Linked DNA regions of Astyanax mexicanus. The protein of the gene in region 1 purifies or fractionates together with the protein of each later gene. This does not show direct contact. Links are inferred from orthologs where the notes say so. Each region holds a gene or a part of one and is shown on either strand. Other genes may lie near its edges.

What was found.
Region 2: the proteins of bbs7 (region 1) and bbs4 purify together in Homo sapiens (co-immunoprecipitation; 7 studies listed by BioGRID and IntAct, counting the BioPlex papers as one, with this or other methods). This does not show direct contact. The link is inferred for Astyanax mexicanus from reciprocal best matches to the Homo sapiens genes BBS7 and BBS4.

What each region holds. Positions count from the first base shown.
Region 1 is NC_064417.1:25,282,203-25,293,377, reverse strand, and holds the start of bbs7 (Bardet-Biedl syndrome 7 protein), read left to right. Parts: upstream 1-6,491; 5' UTR 6,492-7,002; coding exon 7,003-7,038; intron 7,039-7,181; exon of another isoform or gene 7,182-7,183; coding exon 7,184-7,249; intron 7,250-8,451; coding exon 8,452-8,514; intron 8,515-8,627; coding exon 8,628-8,803; intron 8,804-8,907; coding exon 8,908-9,094; intron 9,095-9,693; coding exon 9,694-9,766; intron 9,767-9,874; coding exon 9,875-9,991; intron 9,992-10,233; coding exon 10,234-10,364; intron 10,365-10,461; coding exon 10,462-10,546; intron 10,547-11,169; coding exon 11,170-11,175. Other genes in the region: small integral membrane protein 43-like, read right to left, coding at 2,946-3,179.
Region 2 is NC_064409.1:48,862,216-48,873,084, reverse strand, and holds the start of bbs4 (Bardet-Biedl syndrome 4 protein), read left to right. Parts: upstream 1-5,634; 5' UTR 5,635-5,707; coding exon 5,708-5,734; intron 5,735-7,342; coding exon 7,343-7,394; intron 7,395-9,670; coding exon 9,671-9,750; intron 9,751-9,843; coding exon 9,844-9,907; intron 9,908-10,005; coding exon 10,006-10,117; intron 10,118-10,869.

The DNA.
Region 1 (11,175 bases):
ATCAGTTATGAGTAAAAAAACCTGAACACAGGCAAGAGTTTTCAAAAGCTTACAGTTTACATCACAATACAGGATACTGTAATTTCAGTGCCTTTTATTGGCCTACTTTTTTAAATGAAGGCCTAGCATGTATATAAAGGGCTATATTGTATGTGATGTATTTAATGTTTACAGTTACCAGTTTGTTGTCGGTTGTTATTTTAACAATCACAGTGTCTCTCACACACACTGAAGTGTTACTTGAACTGTTGCAAACGATTCACTGTGTGGCGTCTGGTAACATTTACTCTCTCTTTCTTACCTTTCCTAAAACGTACACACACACACACACAAACACACACAGACACACACACACAAACACACACGCACGCACACACAAATATAATTTAATAATGTTCTGCCTCACTGCCTATTAAAACATTCAACAGAAAGCCCTTTGGCACTTTCTTTTGATGAAATTATGAATAATAAATGTAACTAATGTATAAGTAAGAATGTTATTGACTTCCATGTGAATTGTCATTGTATGGAGCCTGAAGGCCTCACCTTAATCATGAAATTGCAGTAAGCATGAAAGAGGACCTGTTAGCACATCACAGCTCTGGTTGTGTAAGGAGAAGTTAATGACGTGATCCAGAGGTGAAAAGAGCCTGTCTATGATAGTGTATGGCTGAAGTAGTGAAGCAAGGACACATTATGATTCGTTAACCTCACTGACCTCTTGGCACGGACATTCATTGATCCCTTTTCCAGGAACATCTGCCTTTGACATGAACAATATTCCAGCCTCTTTGACTCAATTAGACAAGAAGAAATCAAGTTTACATGCTTGGTTGTTGTTGTAGGCTACCAGATCTGGAGGATTCTACACACTGGCAGAAAGATGATGCACAAGATGACATGAAAAAAACAACAAGAGTAATGCAATGACTGCAGTGCTTGTATTTTATTGTACATTATTGTTAGCATGTTTATTAGAGTTCCAGTATTAATAAGTATTAAATACATTGCAAACATCTAATTCTACATACAGTGTTTCAGTATGTCTAAAAAGCACATTGCCACAAGATAACACAATAAAAATCATGTTATTTTACGTAAACAAAAACAAGACATGTGATCATATGTGGAAAACAATATAACCATGTAAAAAAAAACATGATCATGATCACTTAAGGAAAACAGTGTGGATCACTTGGGGAAAATTATCACATAAAAACATGATCATGTATCTCTTGTGATAAAAATGTAATAACGTAGGGAAAAAAATGGTCAGATCATAAAAAACATGCTTACATGTGGGATTATGTGTAAACAGACATGCTCACATGTGGACAACATTTTAGTCACGTGGAAAAAAAGTGTAGTCACATCTGGCAAACAGTGTGGTCACGCTGGGGGGGGAAATGTGATTAGGTGTGAAAAACAGTGTGGTCACATGAGAGAAAATATAATCACATGTGGAATAAAATATTTGATAATATGGAAAACAGTGTGGTAAAAAAAACATGCTTTTATGTGAAAAAAGTGAGAAAAACATAACCCAGTGAGTTTTTAACTGTTTTGTATGTTTGTTTATTTTAACATCAATTATCTTTGTGCATGTTCTTTTAGAAAATTGCTGTTTATTTGTCTAACAGTAGCTCTGTTCAATAATGGCAAATAATTTAGTTAAAATAAAATCTTTGTTCTTCTTCTTAGCTGGTAGGAGATTTGATATATGTGTTGCAGCCGGTAAAATGAAGATAGTAAAACTTAGGACATATAATTCAGCAGCCATATATATTTACCAATGCGCATTAAACATATTGTAATCAGAAACAATACTGTGTCCCGAGTAATGTTCCAAATATTAGGGAAAAAATGGCAATATAAAGTCGAATTTATGATATAAAATCAGTTTATGAAGAGCCTACCCACATTCTTCTCCGTTTTATCAGAAAATTACTGTGAAACAATAGAGGGAGCCCACAAGTGAGTCCAAAATGAATAGGGGTGAATAGGGGAATTAAAATGAGCAATATCCACCTGGCCAGAAATTTTCTTTAATTTTGAAAAGCAAAATAATATAAATAAATAATAAAATAATGTTGCAAAAAAGCAAAGAAAATGTACCTATACTTGTCCATTTGTCTAGAGCAAACGGGTTTCAGACAACAGACGTGCTAGAATAACTGCTGCTAGTGAGCTGGGCTCGGTAGCTAACCTAATTTGGTTGACTAGCTATAGCAACTTGCTAGCTTAAGTAACTCAAATGATAGTCTAATGTTGGCCAACTACTATAAAATCACTACACAGATAACCTAACTGTGGCTACATAACATAATATTGGACACAAACTAAACATTTTCAGTAAGACAATAGAAACAATTAGCTTAGCTAACAGCAGATTATAGAGTATGATAAAGTTAGCTAGCTAGACCTGTCAGCCACACAGAAAAAAACAGCTCAGAAAAATACAGTTTATAGTCTAGTTTTACTTAAAGTAAAGCTTATAATTCACTCAATAATAAACAATTTGTATGGAATAATTGTATAGAAATCTTCATACTAATTTCTTCCAGATAAAAATAGGTTAGCTATCTGACAGCTGATGTTAATTAACGTTACTCCAGACAGCTCTTCTTCAGGTTTTCTTATTCACTGAACATTAACAGCCACTCAATCCAGCAGTTGGGTCCAGAAAAAGCCCAAGAAGAAATTGTGTTCTATTTAGGAACATAAACATGCAGTTTTTCATCTGAATTATCCTCAAAAGCTGGGAATGCTGGCTGGCTAGATTTCAGTGGTCAGTCTTGGACACTTCCAGAACTTCATGTTTCAGTCACAGGATAATAATCCACTCTGGTTGTCCAACATAGTTTAACAATATAAGATGTTTGTAAAGGCTTTTTTTGGCGAAAAATTACATCCAATGCATGATTTTCCATACTTGTCTCTCTTTCTCAGAAATTGTGACCCCTGAAGGACCCAAAGTGTGGCCCTCTGAAGGACCGGCTGGGGTGGAGGGCGCTGTTTCCTACAGAGTTCCTCAGCTGCTTCAGCAACATCCACAGTAGGAGCCCCATCAGCAGCAGCAGGAGCATGAGGATCCCCAGATACACGCTCACGTTCCAGCCCCATTCCATCGCAAGAGGCATAGAGGTGGAAGCCACCAGGAACTTCTTAGGAGCAGGCATCAGTTAGCATGGATTGAATGCAACCGCCCTGGTTCTTCAGGGGGGTCCCACCCCAGGGAGATGTTTAGGTTTGAGGCGTAGCATCCTTGGTTTTCGCATGTAGAAGCAGACCATCTTCTTTGTCCTCACATCTCCTTGAGGTCTGGTAGTGTCCTCTGCTGCTGGCAGAATGAGGCAGCTTTTCCAAACCCCTGCGTCTCTGTGTCTGAGTGTTGACCCCTCCCCTGGTGCTGAAGGACATTCATTGCCCTGACTTATGCGCTGGGGAAAGTGCACACACTCACACACAAACACACACACACACACGCATGCATATGCTCATTCTCAAACAGACTCAACAGAGGGAGAAGATAATATCTATGAAAACAGCTGTCTAGTGTTGTATCAGACCATCACACTGTGTCTGTTCAAGTGTCCTCATATTGCATGAGATTTATTCAATAAGAGAACTGACAAAATGTTCTCGGCATCATCAAGACCAGATGAAGGCTGTTACGGCAAGAGCATTTTGTCCATATTTTTTGTAACCTGCTTGATGATGAAGGCTTTGTGCACGCTGTTGCATGAATTTGCTTATAATTAGGATAAATAAGCCTATGAAAAAAAATCATGAAACCCGTTAATCAGAAGCTTACATTGCTTCTAATAAAATATGCATGTTCTCTAATGCACATCATCATTCATAATATGATCATAATATTTCTTTATAATATTTATTAATATAGACTTACTCTTACGCAGATTAAAAATATACACAAAGATATGTAAAAGAAAGAACATGACAACATTAGATATCTTTATCAATACCAAATCTCAAAACTTAAAACTTAAATAAGCAAGACAATGCAGTTAATTCAGAACATAATAAGCATGATAGGGTATTGCAAGCAAACACACCCACATATAGACCTATGTATGCAGTTTAAGCCTTATAAAAAATGACATTCACAGATAAGACAACTAGGTAAGACAACTAGATTAGATAACTTTATAAATCCAAGAGCAAAATCCACAAATTGCAGTAGTCTAATATACAGATATGGCAAAGAGATCAGTAAATCAAATATATTGATTTGACTACACAATGTGTACACAAGTATAGAACTTTATAAAGAATATAATAAATAAATAAATAAAAACTACAAAAACAGAAAATTTATTCATTTTATGCAAAGTGCAAGTTAGGGTGGCAAGGTTAATTGAATGAATTATTATTTTCAAAATGGGGTCATTTATTTCAGTAATTCAGTTAAAAATGTGAAACTCATATTATATAGATGTATTGTACCCACAGTGATCTAATTTAAGCATTTTTTTTATTGTTTATGATTATGTCTTACAGCCAATGAAAACCCAAAAATCAGTGTCTAAGAAATGTTGAATATTATATAAGACCAATTGGTCCTTTTGGCAGTGTGGGCAGTGTACCAAGTCTCGCTGGAAAATGAAATCCATATCTCTATAAAAGTTGTCAGCAGAGGGAAGCATGAGCTCTGTAATAAAATAGCATAGCGAACACTTCCTATGCAGCTATACGGAAGAACAATAACATTTGTAGATTCTTAAACCATGTGTTCAGTTTAGTAAATTATTCTCTTATTTGCCTTTTTGAAACATTACCCCAATCTGACCCTGCTTCTTTTGGAGTAACTGCATCTGCTGTAAGGAATTGATTGCAACAAGAGCATTAGTGAGGTCAGGGTGTTGGATGATCACCATCCCACCTTATCCCCAACTTCCTAATTTATCACATTGCATAACATTCTTTAAGGTTGAAGAGGGAAAAAAACATTAAAGCAACCTTTATTTAACATTGCCTAATAGCCAATAGTTAATGTTAAAATTCTGATGTTGAATCATTGTTCATTCCAGTTTTTGAATGGTTGGGGCTCTGAATTCACACTTACAATGATTTTAGGTGTACAGTGCTTCCCACAAGTAATAGTATTGAGTGTATTAAATCAGATGTCTCTAAAAATAATTTCCCACTGAATGGGTGCCATTTGCTTGTTGTAACTCTTCCAAATTAAACTTATTTTTTTTCAACTCTGAATCTAATAACACCTGTATGTAACTATTCAATACATGTACTGGTCAATCTTAGGCAGCTTTACAAGGTTTCTAAGCTGAAGATGGTTACAAAACTCATTTGACATTTAAAAAGCATGTTTAAAAGCAAGTCCACTAATTCTTTGATTGATTTTCTCTCAAGAAAGCGTTTATTTTAAAGAAATGGTTGACTGTATGTTCAAATAGTTGATATTAATGACAAAAAAATTACACCTGTTACTGGAACTCAGTCCTGTTTCTGGCACACATTCCTGTTACTTTTATTTGTTTTAAGTAACAGGAATTAAAGTAACAAGACTGTTTTTAGCATAGAATTAGCAAAAACATGAAAAATAGCTAAATAGCAGCAATGCCAATAGCATGAGGACACTGAGCACATTCTAGTGATTTTCCCACAATAAGATCTAAGAATTAATTTAGGTAACAGGACAGAGTGTTGAGATTGACCTCCTCAGTCATAGTTACAATAAGATCAAATATACAAAAAAAAAAAACTAATGGGGGAACTTAATTTTGGTCTTCTCATGATCTTCAGAAGAACCATCTGATGTAACTTTCTGTTGTAGATGTGTAGCGTTACAGATGTTTCAGATGTTTTACGGTAACAGGAATGAATGAAACCCAGGGACACATCTAAAATGTTTTTAGTTCTTTTATCTTAAGTATTATGGACTTACAACAATGCAAAAAATTACATCTCTGAAAAATTGTAATCATTATTTTTCATGGTAAAGTTTATAGTTAGAGAGTGGGGACAGGTAACAAATGCTATTTTTTCAGTTTTCTAGGTCACTGGCTGAACTACAGTGTTGTTAGCCAATCAGAGTGGATATGTTTGCATGTATGAATATTGCGCAAATATATTCATGTACAAGACAATATGCTTCATAATAAAATGTATTTGAACGTTATTTTGTGTGCACATGTAACATGTAATTTCCTGGGGACAAAAAAGGAACACATTTGGTGGAATGGCTCAGGGGTCTGTACAGTTCAAAAGCACAAATAACAAAAAAAATCTGTTCTTGTGAGAATAAAAGTTTGATCAAAATATTTATTTTGATTAATTCTGATAAATTACTTATTGTTTTAATAATAAAAAAATAAAAGTCATAGAATGAAAAAAAATTAAATTATTGATATTGAATTATTTTTAGAGACCAAAAAAAACTTTTCCAGATTAATATGTATTTCTGCAATATTATTTCCTTTTTTTTTGCCTAATTTGTTTGTCTCCATGGAAACCTGGGATGCGTCAGAGACCAAACATGGCGGCGCTGAGAGGGCAGCTTGCTTAGCTTTGCTGGATGTTTATTAATCTATTCGCTAAGCTTTTTTGCTCTTCTAGAAAATGATATATAATACGGGCTAATGTCGGGTTTTTACCTCCTTCCAGAGGACTAACGAGCCGCGTTAACTCTCACACGAAGGAAAAATCTGTTTCTGCGGGTAGCATGTAAGCTAACTAGGCTTGTTATTTAGGTTAGCTTTAGTTAGCCTTCCAGCTAGAACCTGCGGGAGGAGCGAGGACAGTCAGCAGCACTTAATCCAGGAGTTAATCCGCTCACTGAGACACTGCATTTCTTTCAGACTACGTTTAAACCTCCGAGAAACTAGAGGAAACGACAGATACCTGAACTATCCGGCAGCACACAGCAGAAACACCCAGCTCTGAAGCTAATCGACTAATCAGTAACTGAGATTCCGTGATCTACAGCCAGCTACACCCACATCTGTGATCAAAACAGAGAAGATGGAACTTAGTTTAAACCACGTTGATTATCTTCAGGTAAGAAGCTACTTTTGAGACTCCAAACTATCCAATGCTATGTGATAAGTACTGAAAATTTAAACAGTAGTTATCATTAGTAAACTGTTCACCATGTTATTGGCACGAATAAGCAGGAGTTATTTTTTCTTATTTGTCTTTCAAGGTCGGAGTAACATCCCAGAAAACCATGAAACTGTTACCAGCAGTGGGACGAAAAGCGACACAAAAGGTAAGTTGACTTTTTTTATCTTTCAAATCTTGATCTGTATTACTGTTATGTTTTGGTAATGAATTGAAAGAATGTAGTTACAGAATTCATCAAACAATTGCTATCAAACCATTAATATAAAATTCTTGCACAAGTGCACATACAAAATGATGAAGCATGGCAGCCAAAACAATGAAAAAAATGGTAAAAAAAAAAGCAAATATAATGAACAATGTAATAAAACACATCATCAAAATCTAAAGTAGTTCTAAAACATTGTTATAATATTTTAGGTCCATATTCGCCCACCTCTAATCTAAAACACATTTTTTGAATTATAAAATGTGCATGGTATAACATTTTAATGGTCTCACTCCTTGTTTTTTTTTTCATTCTTTTTAAATTGTCTCTTGATCTCTACTATGAATGAATGCCATGTGAGCCGTTTTTTATGAAAGAAGTGCTCTGGTGATCCAATAAAACTGTGCTTTAATGTGATATCTAGTATGAATGAATGCCATGCGAGCCATTTTTTTTACGAAAGAAGTGCTCTGGTGATCCGATAAAACTGTCCTCTGGAGTCCTCTGGAGGAGTGGGGGGAATTTCGGCTCTTGCTCATGAAAACATACAAAAATCTACTCTGATTGGCTAACAACACTGCAGTTCAGCCACTAACCTAGTTTTAAAGTCTCTGTAAAATGCGAAATCCACCGGAGATCCTATGTAAACCTATGATTACATATGATTAGTCTTAGACTTAGTCTTAGCTGTAAAAAAGTGGGTGGATTTGCCCCAGGCATCCTTCTCTAAGCCAGGGAGTGTAATTAACTTTTACTCTACAGCAGTAAATACAAATCACACTACATGGAGCAGCTCTACATTTGGATTTTTTAACAAGCTGACATATACAAAAGCAGCATCTGTGAATGAGAAAGAAGCATGTGGGCTGAGCCCATAGAGTAATATTATTTATTTTATTTTTACACAAATATGGTTTGTGTTTGGTAGCATTTGTATTATGCAGCTCCACCAAAGTTACATTATAGCACAGTAACAACATTTCAGAGTGGCAATGTCATAGGCACCATTCTCCCTATTACACTCAGTGGAACATCAATACGATTCTGAAGCTGCTAATGTAAGATAAAATTGTTACATAATCTTGCTTTAACTGGATGTTTTTATTAAGTGTTATGTTTTTTTTGTGATTTCTTCCATTTAGGTTGCTGTTGCAGACCACGATGGTGTAGTGAACTGTTTCGGGATGAAAAAGGGAGAGGCTGTGGTGCGTGTTTTAATTATTTTAACATTATTGACTTTATGATGGTTCAAATACTTTATTCACCTATTGGAGATTATATAATTACTGCTAAAGCAAAAAAACTCTATTTTATCCAGCCTGTTTTCAAAAGTCTCCCAGGGCAGAAGATCTCCAGACTAGAACTGGGAGGAGCTTTAGGAACCCCTCAGGAGAAAATCTTTGTATGTTCTGGCTCTGAGGTCAGGGGCTTCACCAAAAAGGGAAAACAGTTCCTTTCTTTTGAGGCCAATCTGACTGAGAGCATTAACGCCATGTGAGTCATTATTTTTTCATTATATGCTCATTATATGCTTCATTATATGCTGGTTACAATGGATGTACGTGACCTGAACGTTAATATTTATACATTGTTGGCAGGCATGTTTCTGGAGCAGATCTTTTTGTCTGTGCCAGCTACATCTACAATCACTACTGTGACTGCAAAGACCAGGACTATTACCTGTCAGGAGACAAGATCAATGACATAGTTTGTTTACCTGTGGAAACAGTGGGCCGTACAGTGCCTGTTCTGGCCTGTCAGGACAGAGTTCTTCGTGTTTTACAGGTGATTGTACTGAATTTAACTCTTATCTGCCCAGCAGTTTAAATATCACCATTCAAAGCTAATAGAAGCCTCTTAGTATCAGGTGAATGAGACAATGCTAACTGGAAGTAGCAGTCCCTAAGATTTTGTCTTTTAAATTGAAAGTAGTAGTATTTGTCATAAGTGGGGGAATAAGGGGGAAAATATTCTAATGAATGATATCAGTGTTCCGGCACAACAATTTAAAAACAGAGTGGTCTGGTAGGTTAGTTGGACGTGATTAATCTGCCCATTTTGACAGAATTCTATAAATGAACAAGAACAAAACAATATACTCAAAAAATTGAATTTTACATAGCAATTTGTTTACATTAACCTGCATTAAAAGTACTGTACCACATGCTCTGTGCAATTACACATTCTCACCAGAGAGGCCTCCAAATCCTCAAAATTTACAGACTGTCACTTTAAACAAAATCCAGTTGAGCTTATCTATAAAAATGAGTCATCCACAATCTTTCCATGTGTTTCCTTTCTTCTACTCAAACATTCTTATTCACTCATAACATTTTAGTAAACATCTGATCCTATAGTACAGTATGAATTCTTGTTTCCTGAAGGGCTCTGAGCTGTTATATGATGTTGAGGTTCCTGGACCTCCATCTGTTCTGGAGCTTCACAACAGAGATGGAGGTGAGCCGTGAAACCTAGGTCTGATGCAGAACAGTACAAAATAGTAATTGAAATATGTAGATATGAGTGTGTGTATGATTGTTGACACAACGTATGTTTTATGTGTAGGTAAGAATGGGGAGGAGGTGCTGTATGGAACCACTGATGGGAAACTGGGTCTGATCCAGTTAACCAGTTCTGCTCCTGTCTCTAAATGGGAGGTGGACAATGAGAAGAAAAAAGGAGGTAGGGGCAAATCTTATAGACAGCTTTGTGGAAATTTAAAACAGTTTTGTAGGTGAGTTTACGGATGGGTGATATTGTAAAAATATAATGAAAATATCATATGTTTTTTGAGTGCACAAGTGATATTTAAAGACCTTTTCATAATATGCAATATTTATTGCAATATTTTTGGATGTAGACAAAATACACTAACTTAAAAATTTCTAACTAAATTTAACTTTTTATTTCATTATCTTCTTAAGGGGTGCTGTGCATCGATACCTTTGACATTCTGGGTGATGGTGTGAAAGATATTCTGGTGGGCAGAGATGATGGGACAGTCGAGGTCTATGGATTGGACAGCTCCAACGAACCCACGCTACGCTTTGAGAATGTATGTGTGACACTGACAGGTTAACACTCTCTGCTGATTTCAAAATAGCTGATCAGTGTTGTTTGATCACTAATCTGCATTATTCTGTGATCAAAAGGTTTTGTCAGAAAGTGTCACATCAATCCAGGGGGGGTGCGTAGGAAAGGAGTCATATGAGGAAGTTCTAACTACCACCTACACAGGTCAGAGACTGAAGACTAAGTTAAAATACTCCTTACATTCTACCATCCATGTTGCTTCTATCTGCTGTTAGCAGATTCCATATTAAAAGTAGTGCCATATAGAACCATATTAAAAAATGTATAAGGACACCTACACATTATACCTACAGGAGGTTTTACCACATTCTGTTCTTTTACCATAGTCATTAGCGTGCAGTCGGTCCCCCTTTGCAGCTCTAACAGCAAGTGTGGAGCTCTGCAGTCATTGATCAGCTATTCTCATCAGCACACCCCTTCTGTAACTTTACATGATCAGACATTTTGTGGCTGAGTTTCTGTGGTTCCTAAATGCTTTCACTGTTTAATAATAACCACTCACAGCTTATTGTGGAATATCTTGTAGGGAATAAATTTCACCAGCTGACCTCCTATTGCACACAGTGCAACACACGTTCTCTATCTAAGGTCTGTAAAGTCCCAAGACTGCATTACTTGGAACTTGATTTCGTACACCTATGGAAATGAGACTTTGTGAAACACACAGTTTCAATGATTAGAGGTGTGACCAAAACCTTATGTCTTTATAGTGTATTTTAACCCTATTTTAAATATCTTACTCCCTTGTCTGGTTGTGATGTCACTAGGTTGGG
Region 2 (10,869 bases), on another chromosome or scaffold:
GAATGGGAATGGAGACACGACGTCCATCTTTTTTTACAGTCTCTGAGTGTAATCAACATATAATATGATATGTATTCAGTGGTGATTCAAAGCACAAATACATTCTTGACAGGGGAATATCATAAACCTGCTTTGAGCTCCATTTTATAAGCTTACATGATAAAAGAAATAAATCTTATATAAAGCTGCTTTAAGCCCCATCTCATTAGATTAATATGATTTTAAAAGTGTTAAGAGAAAAAAAACTAGCCCTATTTAAAAAAGGTAGAAACATAGAATTAGATGCAAACCAGCAAGAGTATGTGTGAGAAAGAGTTGCCAGCCTTTAAGGTAAAAGAATAAAAAAACCCTAATATACATGCTTTAACTTAAATATATACTGTAGTCCTGAAAAAACAACCCTTTTCTTTTAGTCACATTTCATAAATAAGTGTTTTTATACAATCAGCATTTTTGTAAAATCTGATTTTAAAAATAATAATAAATTGCCTTGCTTACAGTACTGCAATATACTGACATATATATTGAATCGGAACTGCTAAAAAAGGAGGCAAAAAGCTAATGCTATACCAACTACAGTGGGCGCCAGGTAATTAGTGCCAAGCTAAATGCTAACCTGCTAAACAGCTGCAACACTATTTAAAACTGAATGTTTGAACTAAAAATGTAATAATATAATCATCATTTTAAAAATGTGTTATTTAACCACTTTATCATCCACCTTAACCAGGCAGTACTGTGTATAATGCAAAAAGGCGCCCCCCCCACACCACAGAAAACTGTATAAAATGTACAGAAAGTTCTTTAAAGTGAAAATTAACATTTCTTTATATGTGTAATAACGTTTTCAACAAAGTAGATCTTGGGAAATGTGTTACAGAGTGATAAGAGTGAGAAAAATTAAACTAAGGGACAATAATAATAATAATAACAATAATAATAATATATGCAAGCGGCAATCTGCGGGTTCAAGCACCAATAGAATAGTGATGTGTGAAAAGGTCTAATGTAATTGGAGATGCCCTGTCACATTTAGAAATTATCAAAAGTTTTTCACCTGTTATTAATATTGAGCAGAGGCCTTTCAACATGATCAGTGCTTAAATTCACATACAAATCTATTGAAGTTTGTAGGATATTCATCAAGTGAGTTAGAACTAGTCAAAAGGTGTCTACATGTTATGGGTATTGATCAGGTGGCTTCAACCAGAATGTTCCCAAAGTGGTGTTCAGATTGACCTTTTGACCTTTGCAAAACAAGCTGAAATGTTTGACTAAACAAGTTTAAATTAACACAAACGAGTGCATTGTCTGACATGACATGTAACTACAAAGTTATTCTAAATCTAGTTCTGAATTAAATGGCACTTCATCGAGCCCCAACTGGCACAATGGTGCCTACTAGAGCATAGGATGATGATGTGTAAGAAGGTCTAGCATAATTGGAGACACACTGTCACATTTAGAAATGATCAAAAGTCTTTCACCTGTTATTAATGTTGAGAAGAGGCACAAAGGAGTGCATGTTCTGATATGACATGTAATTACAAAGTTATTCTAAATCTAGTTCTGAATTAAATGGCGCTTCATCAGAGTGATTTTGTACAGAGGTCTTTAACATTGTGAGATTACAGCAAATACTGCAGAGTTACAGCAATTTAGGTTAGAAATTCCAAGGACGCACAGATTGCTTGATGCCTGGACAGTATTGTATGTGAAATTTTCACAAATGTTTTTAATGAACATTTACCTAGAGACTCTACAGTGTGCAACATAACCGAAATGGAGGTGATATGCCAAATATCCAGAGACCAGTTTCAATATAGCTATTTTCAAACAACTAGCAATTATGAATAAACAAAGCACTTTTTAAACATAGTTGTATTGACAAATTTGTCAGAGCCACTGTACTAAATATGGCAAAAATAATGTGATGTCAAAATAGTACAGCATGATTGACATATACTCGTTTATGTCCCCCAGTGGCCGGATTGTTTCAGGACTGTGCAGGTCACTACAGTGTCTCCACCTGAAAATAACTGCCAAATGTGATCCAGATTGTTCAACATTCAGCCTGCCAAAATGTCTGCTGAATGCTGATTGGCTGATGGTGTTCAGCCATGTTGATTGATTCAGTTGCCCTTTGACCATCCTTTAGAGGATATATGATATATTCTGTATGCAAATTTTCAGCTTGCTAGGTTGCACGGTTGCTGAGAAACAGTGCTCCAAATTTAACTGTTGGAGTGAATAGGGCATATATCCGGAAGGGCTAATTTGCATATGACGGCCATATTGTGTACAAATTTCAACATTTTTGATGAATATTGAAGAGCATGGTCTCCTGAGTATTTTGATACCAAACATGTCAGGATTGGTCAAAATACCTAGGACTAGTTCGCAAAAGTATGTTTTGCATATTATGCAAATTAGCAAAAAATCTATATAGACGGAAGTGCATGATTGTAGGTATTGGCCCAAGGAATCCATCAAAAAAAGAATTGTGAATGTAGGTCTTATGGTTTTTGAGTTATTGAGAAAAATGTGAAAAATGAATTTCCTTGTTTATAGAGCCACCACTTGACCAATCGGTGCCATTTTTGTTGTCCGCCGAGATGCACTGATCCTACATCTACCTACCAAGTTTCATATCTCTACGACTTACAGTTTAGGCTGCACAACTGCTTTTTCAGAGGAAAAAGAATAATAATAATAATTATAATAATAATAATAATAATAAGAAGAAGAAGAAGAAGAAAAATCTTAGCAAAAACAATAGGGTTCTACGCACCTTCGGTGCTTGAACCCTAAAAATTTTAGCAAAAACAATAGGGTTCTACGCACCTTCGGTGCTTGAACCCTAAAGATTCATAAAAACATTCTTGAATGCTTATTTCTGATTATTTGAACATTTAAACGTTTGAGAATTCAAATCTAATTCTGAGACTGTGTAATTCTATTACATTTTAAAAGCTAATATTTTTAAAGCTTTAAATCTAATAAAGTACATTTAAAGTTAAATCAAAAGTTAAAAAACTGGTGTGAATGCTGTTAATAATTTAAAGAACTAAATAATATTTGAATATGTGACTAGAGTAATAACAATAATATAATTTATCTATTTATTTATTTATTTATTTATAAAGCACTTTTTATTCATAGAATGCAGCTTTAAGATTCAAAGTTTTTACAACATAATGTAATAAGAAACAGGATTAAGCAATGCAAAAAACTTACTTTTAAATGGGTTTGTAACAAGTCTTAATTAAGCTAATTAAGCTTATAAAAGTTAATTAAACTTATAAAAAAATAATTAATGAAAGTGTAATGTAAGGAAACTTTATTTCTATAAAAATTATAAAGTAAACTTATGAACTTTTAAAAGATATAATTCAATTATGAACTCTAAAAATATTAGGTAAACTTATGAACTCTATAAAATGATAAAGTACTCTATACAAATATAGCTAGTTAATTCATGGACTATAAAAATATAAAGTAAACTCATCAGTAATAGACAGATATATACAGATTAATAAATAAACGATACATGGGGATCAGATGCGACGTCTTAAGAGTTTTACACTGTGCGTTATATAGGACTAACTTAAGCTGTCACGTGACTCAAGACAACAAAATACAAACTCCACCCAAAGACAACAGGGGGTTTTATATATGAATGCAAAATATCATTGTACAACGACATATCTAATATGCTACGGTGTAATAATATCAGCTGCAACAGTGAAAGTGTGTGATAACTGTTTGCCTCGGCGCTGAACAGCGACACCTGATGGTGATTTTTTCAGTCTCAGTTAAAAAAAAAAAACTAAACTGAAAGAGCCTGAGGTCTGTATTTACTTCTTCAATATTATACAGTAGCTGAAAAGAAAAAAAAATCTAAGGTATTCACAAACTTTTATGCACCACTGTATAACAGTTTCAAACATTTAGCAGGAGCAAAAAAATCTAAACTTTTTTGTAATATTTTGTACCAACAGCTACAAAACAAGAATAAGAATAATAATAAGAATAATAATAACATATCAACAAATCAAAATGTAAATAAAACAATGTAAAAGAGCGAAAAAAGCTACCGAAATACTAAAGTGCAGAGTATTTGGTGCATGCACGTGAACTGCAAATATAAACAATTATATGGTTGACAATTTGAATAATTTTTGCGAAAAGTTGCCATGGCATATCAGAGGTCCAGGGAATTTTTAGGATGTCAGACTGGAATGGGGAGGTTCTTCAGGCATGTTCCTGCTTCCAGAACTTAGTTATTTTATAACAATACATCATTATATGAGTACATACCTGTCAAGTCTCCCGTTTTGGCCGGGAAACTACCGTATTTTACTCCTCTTTCCCGTCGTCCTCCCGTATTAGTATTTTCCCGTAAATTTCCCGTATTATACTAAATAAAAAAAATATATAGGCCACAGGCGACAATGCACTGTGTGTCTCTTAACCAATCGTGTTGCCGGTTCAAGGAGAAAGTCCCGCCTTTCAGGAGAAACAGCCAATCAGATTGCTGGTTTTGCGGAGCGCAGTTTAGTGTCGGGCAGAGCCAGCCCCGCCCCTCCCCTCGCTGTGAGTTCAGGCAGCTAGTCGGAGCAGCTGTCGTTAAAACTAATCTGGATATACGGAGATTTTTCTAAAAGAAAGGTAACTAACCATGTAAACTGTGATGAGATTGTTTCTGATAGCTGGTTAAAAAGACTCTTCTCTGAATCAAAACATAAATTCAACCCATTGTGTGTTTAATAAAATACAGCTTGTGACTCAGTTAGCTTAACTTTAGAATTAGCTAGATAGATATTCAGGGTTTGAGAAAAATCTACATACATATAATGCCCTGCCCTGATGTGCCTGATCAGCCAAAACATATAATTTCCAAACTCTATTAGTTCAGGGCTAGTTTTAGGGTTTGTTAGAATTTGTTTAAATCTCAAGTATTGTGGTGTAATGTATTATTTAGAAGGGGTAGAAGAGATGGTTGAGCTGGAGAGAGAGAGAGAAAATGTGGAGAGGGCTGAAATTAACTGAACTGATCAGGAGTGGACTGAATGATAGAAAGAAGTATTAATGAAAGATTATTAATTGTGTAGGCCCCTTAGGACTATTATTTACTTATGGAATATATCTGATCCATGTCCTTTTTGTAAATTTGTGCACCCTTCAATTTCAATTTTAAATCTATTAAATAATAATAAAAAAATATATATGTATATATGTATATATATATATATGTGTATATATATATATATATATATATATATATATATATATATATATATATATACACATACATATATATATATATATATATATATATATATATATATATATATATATATATATATATATATATACATTTTTAGCCCTCGGTTGGGCTGTTGGGGCGGCGGAAAAAATCCCTTATTTTTAAGTCCAAAACTTGACAGGTATGTATGAGTATATATACTTTTTCTTTTATCTACATTATTTTATGTGTAGATTTTAAATTATTTTAAGCTCTATATATTATCAAACTAGTTCATAGTATTTAATCACCAGAGTTTTATTACGTTTTAGGGGGGACTTTTGACAGAAAATCGTTTTGGACTCGTTTGGATGGGGGCGGGACTAGTTACTATGGTAACGGCCGTGCGTTTTCAGGGGCCGCGTAGAAACCGGAAGTGTGTTTTCTGGAGCTGGAGGGATGGCTGATGAGGAGACGGTTAAAGCGGTGAGAATGGGGCTATGGAGCTGCAGCGGCTCTCAGTGAAACTCTGTAGCTGTAGCTGTGTATAAAGTGTGTGTTGGTGAAGCGGGGCAGTGGATATATATAGCGGGGCGGTTCGCTGGGAGGGTCTGTCTGAACAGCGGAGCTGCAGATCAAGCGCGTCTGTTAGCCAGCAGCGCTGCTAATGATACGATTTAAACCCATTAAACAACAGCTACAGTGTCTCAGATAACCTACTGTTTAACCCCTGTAGCTGCCTGACTGTCTGAAATACAGCCACTAACTAAGCCTAACTAAGCTTTAGTGTTTATGCTACCGTTACCGTTAACTCAGTTTAGGCTGTTTTTTGTGGTAAAGCTCATTTCAGTCTTTCTGTACTTGTTACTCGTCTGCAGGGGCTGGTAGGCTATTGAGAACACACTAAAATATCGAGTCTTTCATAAAATAAAGTTTTAGTTAGCTCTTATTTCTGTAGCTACCCACCTTCTGACAGTCAGTTCATTCATCCTGTCTCTGCTCACGGTATTAGCCACACTATACAGCTCTGTACAAAAAAAAAGACCACTTAAACTTGATTTTACCAAATTGAAAACCTCTGGAATATAATCAAGAGGAAGATGGATGATCACAACCCATCAAACCAATCTGAACTGCTTGCATTTTTGCACCGGGGGTGGCATAAAGTTATCCAAAAGCAGTGTGTAAGACTGGTGGAGGAGAACATGCCAAGATGCATGAAAGCTGTGATTAAAAACCAGGGTTATTCCACCAAATATTGATTTCTGAACTCTTAAACCTTTATGAATATAAGCTTGTTTTCCTTGCATTATTTGAGGTGAAAGCTCTGCATCTTTTTTGTTATTTCAGCCATTTCTCATTTTCTGCAAATAAATCCTCTAAATGATAATATTTTTATTTGGAATTTGGGAGAAATTTTGTCCATAGTTTATAGAAAAAAAACAATGTTCATTTTACTCAAACATATACCTATAAATAGCAAAATTAAAGAAACTGATTCAGAAACTGAAATGGTCTCTTATTTTTTTCCAGAGCTGTTTGTTCAAATGGTTGTGGACACTCCTTCTAATGACTGCATTCAGCTTATTTAAGTTACAAACACCCATTGCTCACACAAGCTGGAAATGCATACACAGCTTGTCTACTGTCATTAGAATGTGCAATGTGAGGGCTAGAGGGGAATAAAAGCCTTGATTTGGACAGTTAGGCATAAGATGGGTGAAATTTATCAACATCTGGGCCTTACTAATACTAACCTAATGCTGAATACAATAAAACCTCCCGGCAATGTTTCAGAATTATGCCTTCCATGGAGAGCAGAAACAGTTACTCCAACAAAATAAACTATTATTTAATACCATTTTTAATCCCTATTTGTATCTATGCAGTGTATATATAATGACATCGTCTTTCTGTTCACACAGTGGTTACTTTGTGCATGAAAATAATCTGACAGTATCACATGGTACTCTAGTCACACTGTAAAATTAGTCAAAAAGTTTAGCATTTGTTTAATATTGAAATATTGTATTATGTTATTCATTTATGCTGAACATTTTGATAAATTAATTTGTATGAATTTATTTGTTTTAGGATGCTCCGCTGCCGGTGGCCACTGACCCTAAGAAGCCTCGTCTTAAAAAAGGTTTGTTAGATTAAAAAGACAGCTGCTGAACACCAGTATCTAGTATTTAGCCTATAAGAAGATTAGAGAGGGCTTAAAACAGTGGCCATATATGTTACGGCGACATATTCTCTTCTATTTACATTAAGATATTACAGTTATAATAATGTGACAAGTGTTTGATTCATGATGTGATTAATTAAATTCTTTGATCTAAACTAGACGTGACGCAAAATTATATTAATTAAATATTTGATATTGATTTGCTGATAGGTAGATTATAGACTTCTTGGCTGTAGTGGCAACAGTTATGTGTTTTATACGTTTCATTGCATCTAGAAACTATGCAGTTATTGGTGTGATTAATAGTAATGAAACTTCAGGTAGATTTACTACTAATTCTTATTTTTTGTATTTCATGTGCATATCATTTGCATATCATTGTTTTCATTGAATTTCATTCTTGGCATGCCTCAATTTTTGCAGATTTTTTTTTTCGCTTGCAGTTGTTGTTTACATTGTATCAAAACTTTCTGAGGAATTAACCAACAGTAATGCTCCACAATTACTTGGAATAAAATATTTTTTTCATTGACCTCCACGTTAAGAGTTTAAGAGAGATTATTTTTTTCTACTTTTGTAAATTTGTCATTTGAAGATGCAAGGTTTTTGTATAAAAAGTGTTTCAGAGCTTTGTCCCTGCTCCAATTCGTCTCAATTGCCATTCTCTCCTTCCTCCTGTGGGTGGTGCTGATTGGCTGAGTTTTCTTCTCCAGTCTCCGATTAGCCTTGAAGAGGATTACAGCTCAGGGAGAAAAGTCTGTCCAGGAATAGAACTGCTTGAAATCAGATTTTGCCAGCAGCCTTATGAGCCAGCTAAGTAAGATGCAGATGCAGCCCCTCACTGTAGATGCTTCCTTTGTTGCGGTGCCTGTTGGGTTTAGAATGGGGGAGCTTTACATGGTCTCCAGCAGTGAGGAGGGAGCACAGCGGCAGAGTGTTCCTTATCAGAGACACTGAAAAATGTGCCTTCTGTCAGAAAATGCAGTCGCTAAAACATGCATGTCTTTATTCATGTCAGACTGCGTCAGATTATGTGTAAACTAAGTAATGTGGAACTTAGCTTGAACCCTGAGCTAAGTAATCCTGTTGTTTTGTGTCTATTGAAGTCGGCGCTTAATATTTTAGAAGATGAGGCATGCTCTGAAGTGAACTTTGGAGGCAAAAGGCTGAATATGTCTCTGAACAGAAGGCCCCCTTTTTTATGGTGCAAATCTATCAAGAAAGATTTCAAGGGTTAACACCCTGTCTTGAGTGTTTTAGTCTGGCTCTGTAAGTATTACTCATGTGTGACTGATCTGTTATGCGCAGCTAATTGCTTTGTCAAACTTTTGCAAAAGGCTTAAAATACACATGCTAAAATTTCAGGGGTAATAATCTAGGAACTATGACATGTAAAGCTTTATTGATCACTCGCTTTTGGACCCTGAACACCAGCTCTACAGCCAAGAAAGCCCAGCAGCGTCTCTACTTCCTCCGGAAGCTGAGAAAGGCCCGTCTCCCTCCACCCATCCTCACACTCTTCTATAGAGGGACCATTGAGAGCATCCTGAGCAGCTGCATCACTGCCTGGTTTGGGACCTGCACCGTCTCTGACCGCAAGACCCTCCAGCGTATTGTGAGGACAGCTGAGAGGATCATCGGCGTCTCTCTCCCCTCCATCACGGACATTTACACCACCCGCAGCATCCGCAAAGCAACCAGCATTGTGAATGACCCCACTCATCCCTCACACGAACTGTTCTCCCTCCTGCCTTCGGGAAGAAGGTACCGCAGCATCCGGTCCAGCACGACCAGATTCTGCAACAGCTTCTACCCCCAAGCCATCAGACTCCTTAACTGCAGAGACTGAAATGATGTTTTTTCTGTACATGCACACACACTCTTACCCCACTTACCCCAGAAAATGGAAAGCACTAAAAACCCTACTACCTCACTGGACTCTATTGCACACTGTGTAATAGAGTAATTACTACCTCACCTGGTCCTTTTTGCACACTGCAAAATTTGCACACTGTCTTGTTATTTATTATTCTTTGTCTGTATGGTGTTGTATTGTCTGTCTGCACTTTTGTACTGTTGCACTATTGTTCTGTCTACACTGTGTTTATGTGCACCATGGTCCTTGGAGGAACGTTGTTTCGTTTCACTGTGTACTCTGTATATAGCTGAAATGACAATAAAAACCACTTTGACTTTGACTTTGAATTTGATCTATCTGTGTGTTCCTGTTTCAGCCCCAGAACTTCCGATTCTAGAGAGGAGAAACTGGCTCATTCATCTTCACTACATCCGCAAAGACTATGAGACCTGCAAGGTGAGATGTGTACAAGGTGGCTGTGCTCAGCGAACGTGTTGTAAACAAGAAGTATGTGGTGTTTCATATGTTCCCTTTCCTGTCTTGTTCCAGGCCATCATTAAAGAGCAGCTCCAGGAGACTCAGGGCATGTGTGAATATGCTGTTTATGTCCAAGGTTGGTTCCATCGCAGCTCAATAGCCTGCCATATTTTTGTCTTCAAAGTTGTTCCATGTTCTTATATATTTCTATAATGTGTTTGTTTATATGTGTAGCTCTGATCCTGCGTTTGGAGGGGAAGATCCAGCAGTCGCTAGAGCTGTTCCAGAGCTGTGCCATCCTAAACCCCACCAGCTCTGATAATCTCAAACAAGTGGCCCGCTCCCTGTAAGGATCCTGTCATGTTTAATCCAGATTAAAATTATAGTTCTCTCTCTGGCTCATTTTCACCCTTCATGTGATTTTTTGGGCTGGTGTAAATTCTGTAGTTCACACTCTGATGCAGACTCAGAAGCTGTCTCTGCTATTACTCCATGTTAAAAATCACAGAAATCTGCATTAGTCCAGATCCTTCTTTCTGTATTCACTTTCTTGCTCCCTCCCCAGACATATAGCTCTGAACAAAATAAGAGATCACTTCAGTTTCTGAATCTGTTTCTCTGATTTTGCCATTTAAAGGTACATGTTTGAGCAAAATAAACAATATTGTTTTATTCTATAAACTACGGACAACATTTCTCCCAAATTCCAAATAAAATTTTCATTTAGAGCATTTATTTGCTGAAAATGAGAAATGGCTGAAATAACAAAAATAATACAGAGCTTTCAGACCTCAAATAATGTAAAGAAAACAAGTTCATAAAGTTTTAGTTCAACAAGTTCAGAAATCAATATTTGGTGGAATAACCCTGGTTTTTAATCACAGCTTTGCATCTTGGCATGTTCTCCTCCACAAGTCTTACACACTGATTTTGGATAACTTTATGCCACTCCTGGTGCAAAGATTTAAGCAGTTCAGTTTGGTTTGATGGCTTGTGATCATCCATCTTCCTCTTTTCAATTTGGTAAAATCAAAGAAACTCATTATTTTTAAGCGGTCTCTTATTTTTTTCCAGGACTGTATTCCCTGGTATAACCTA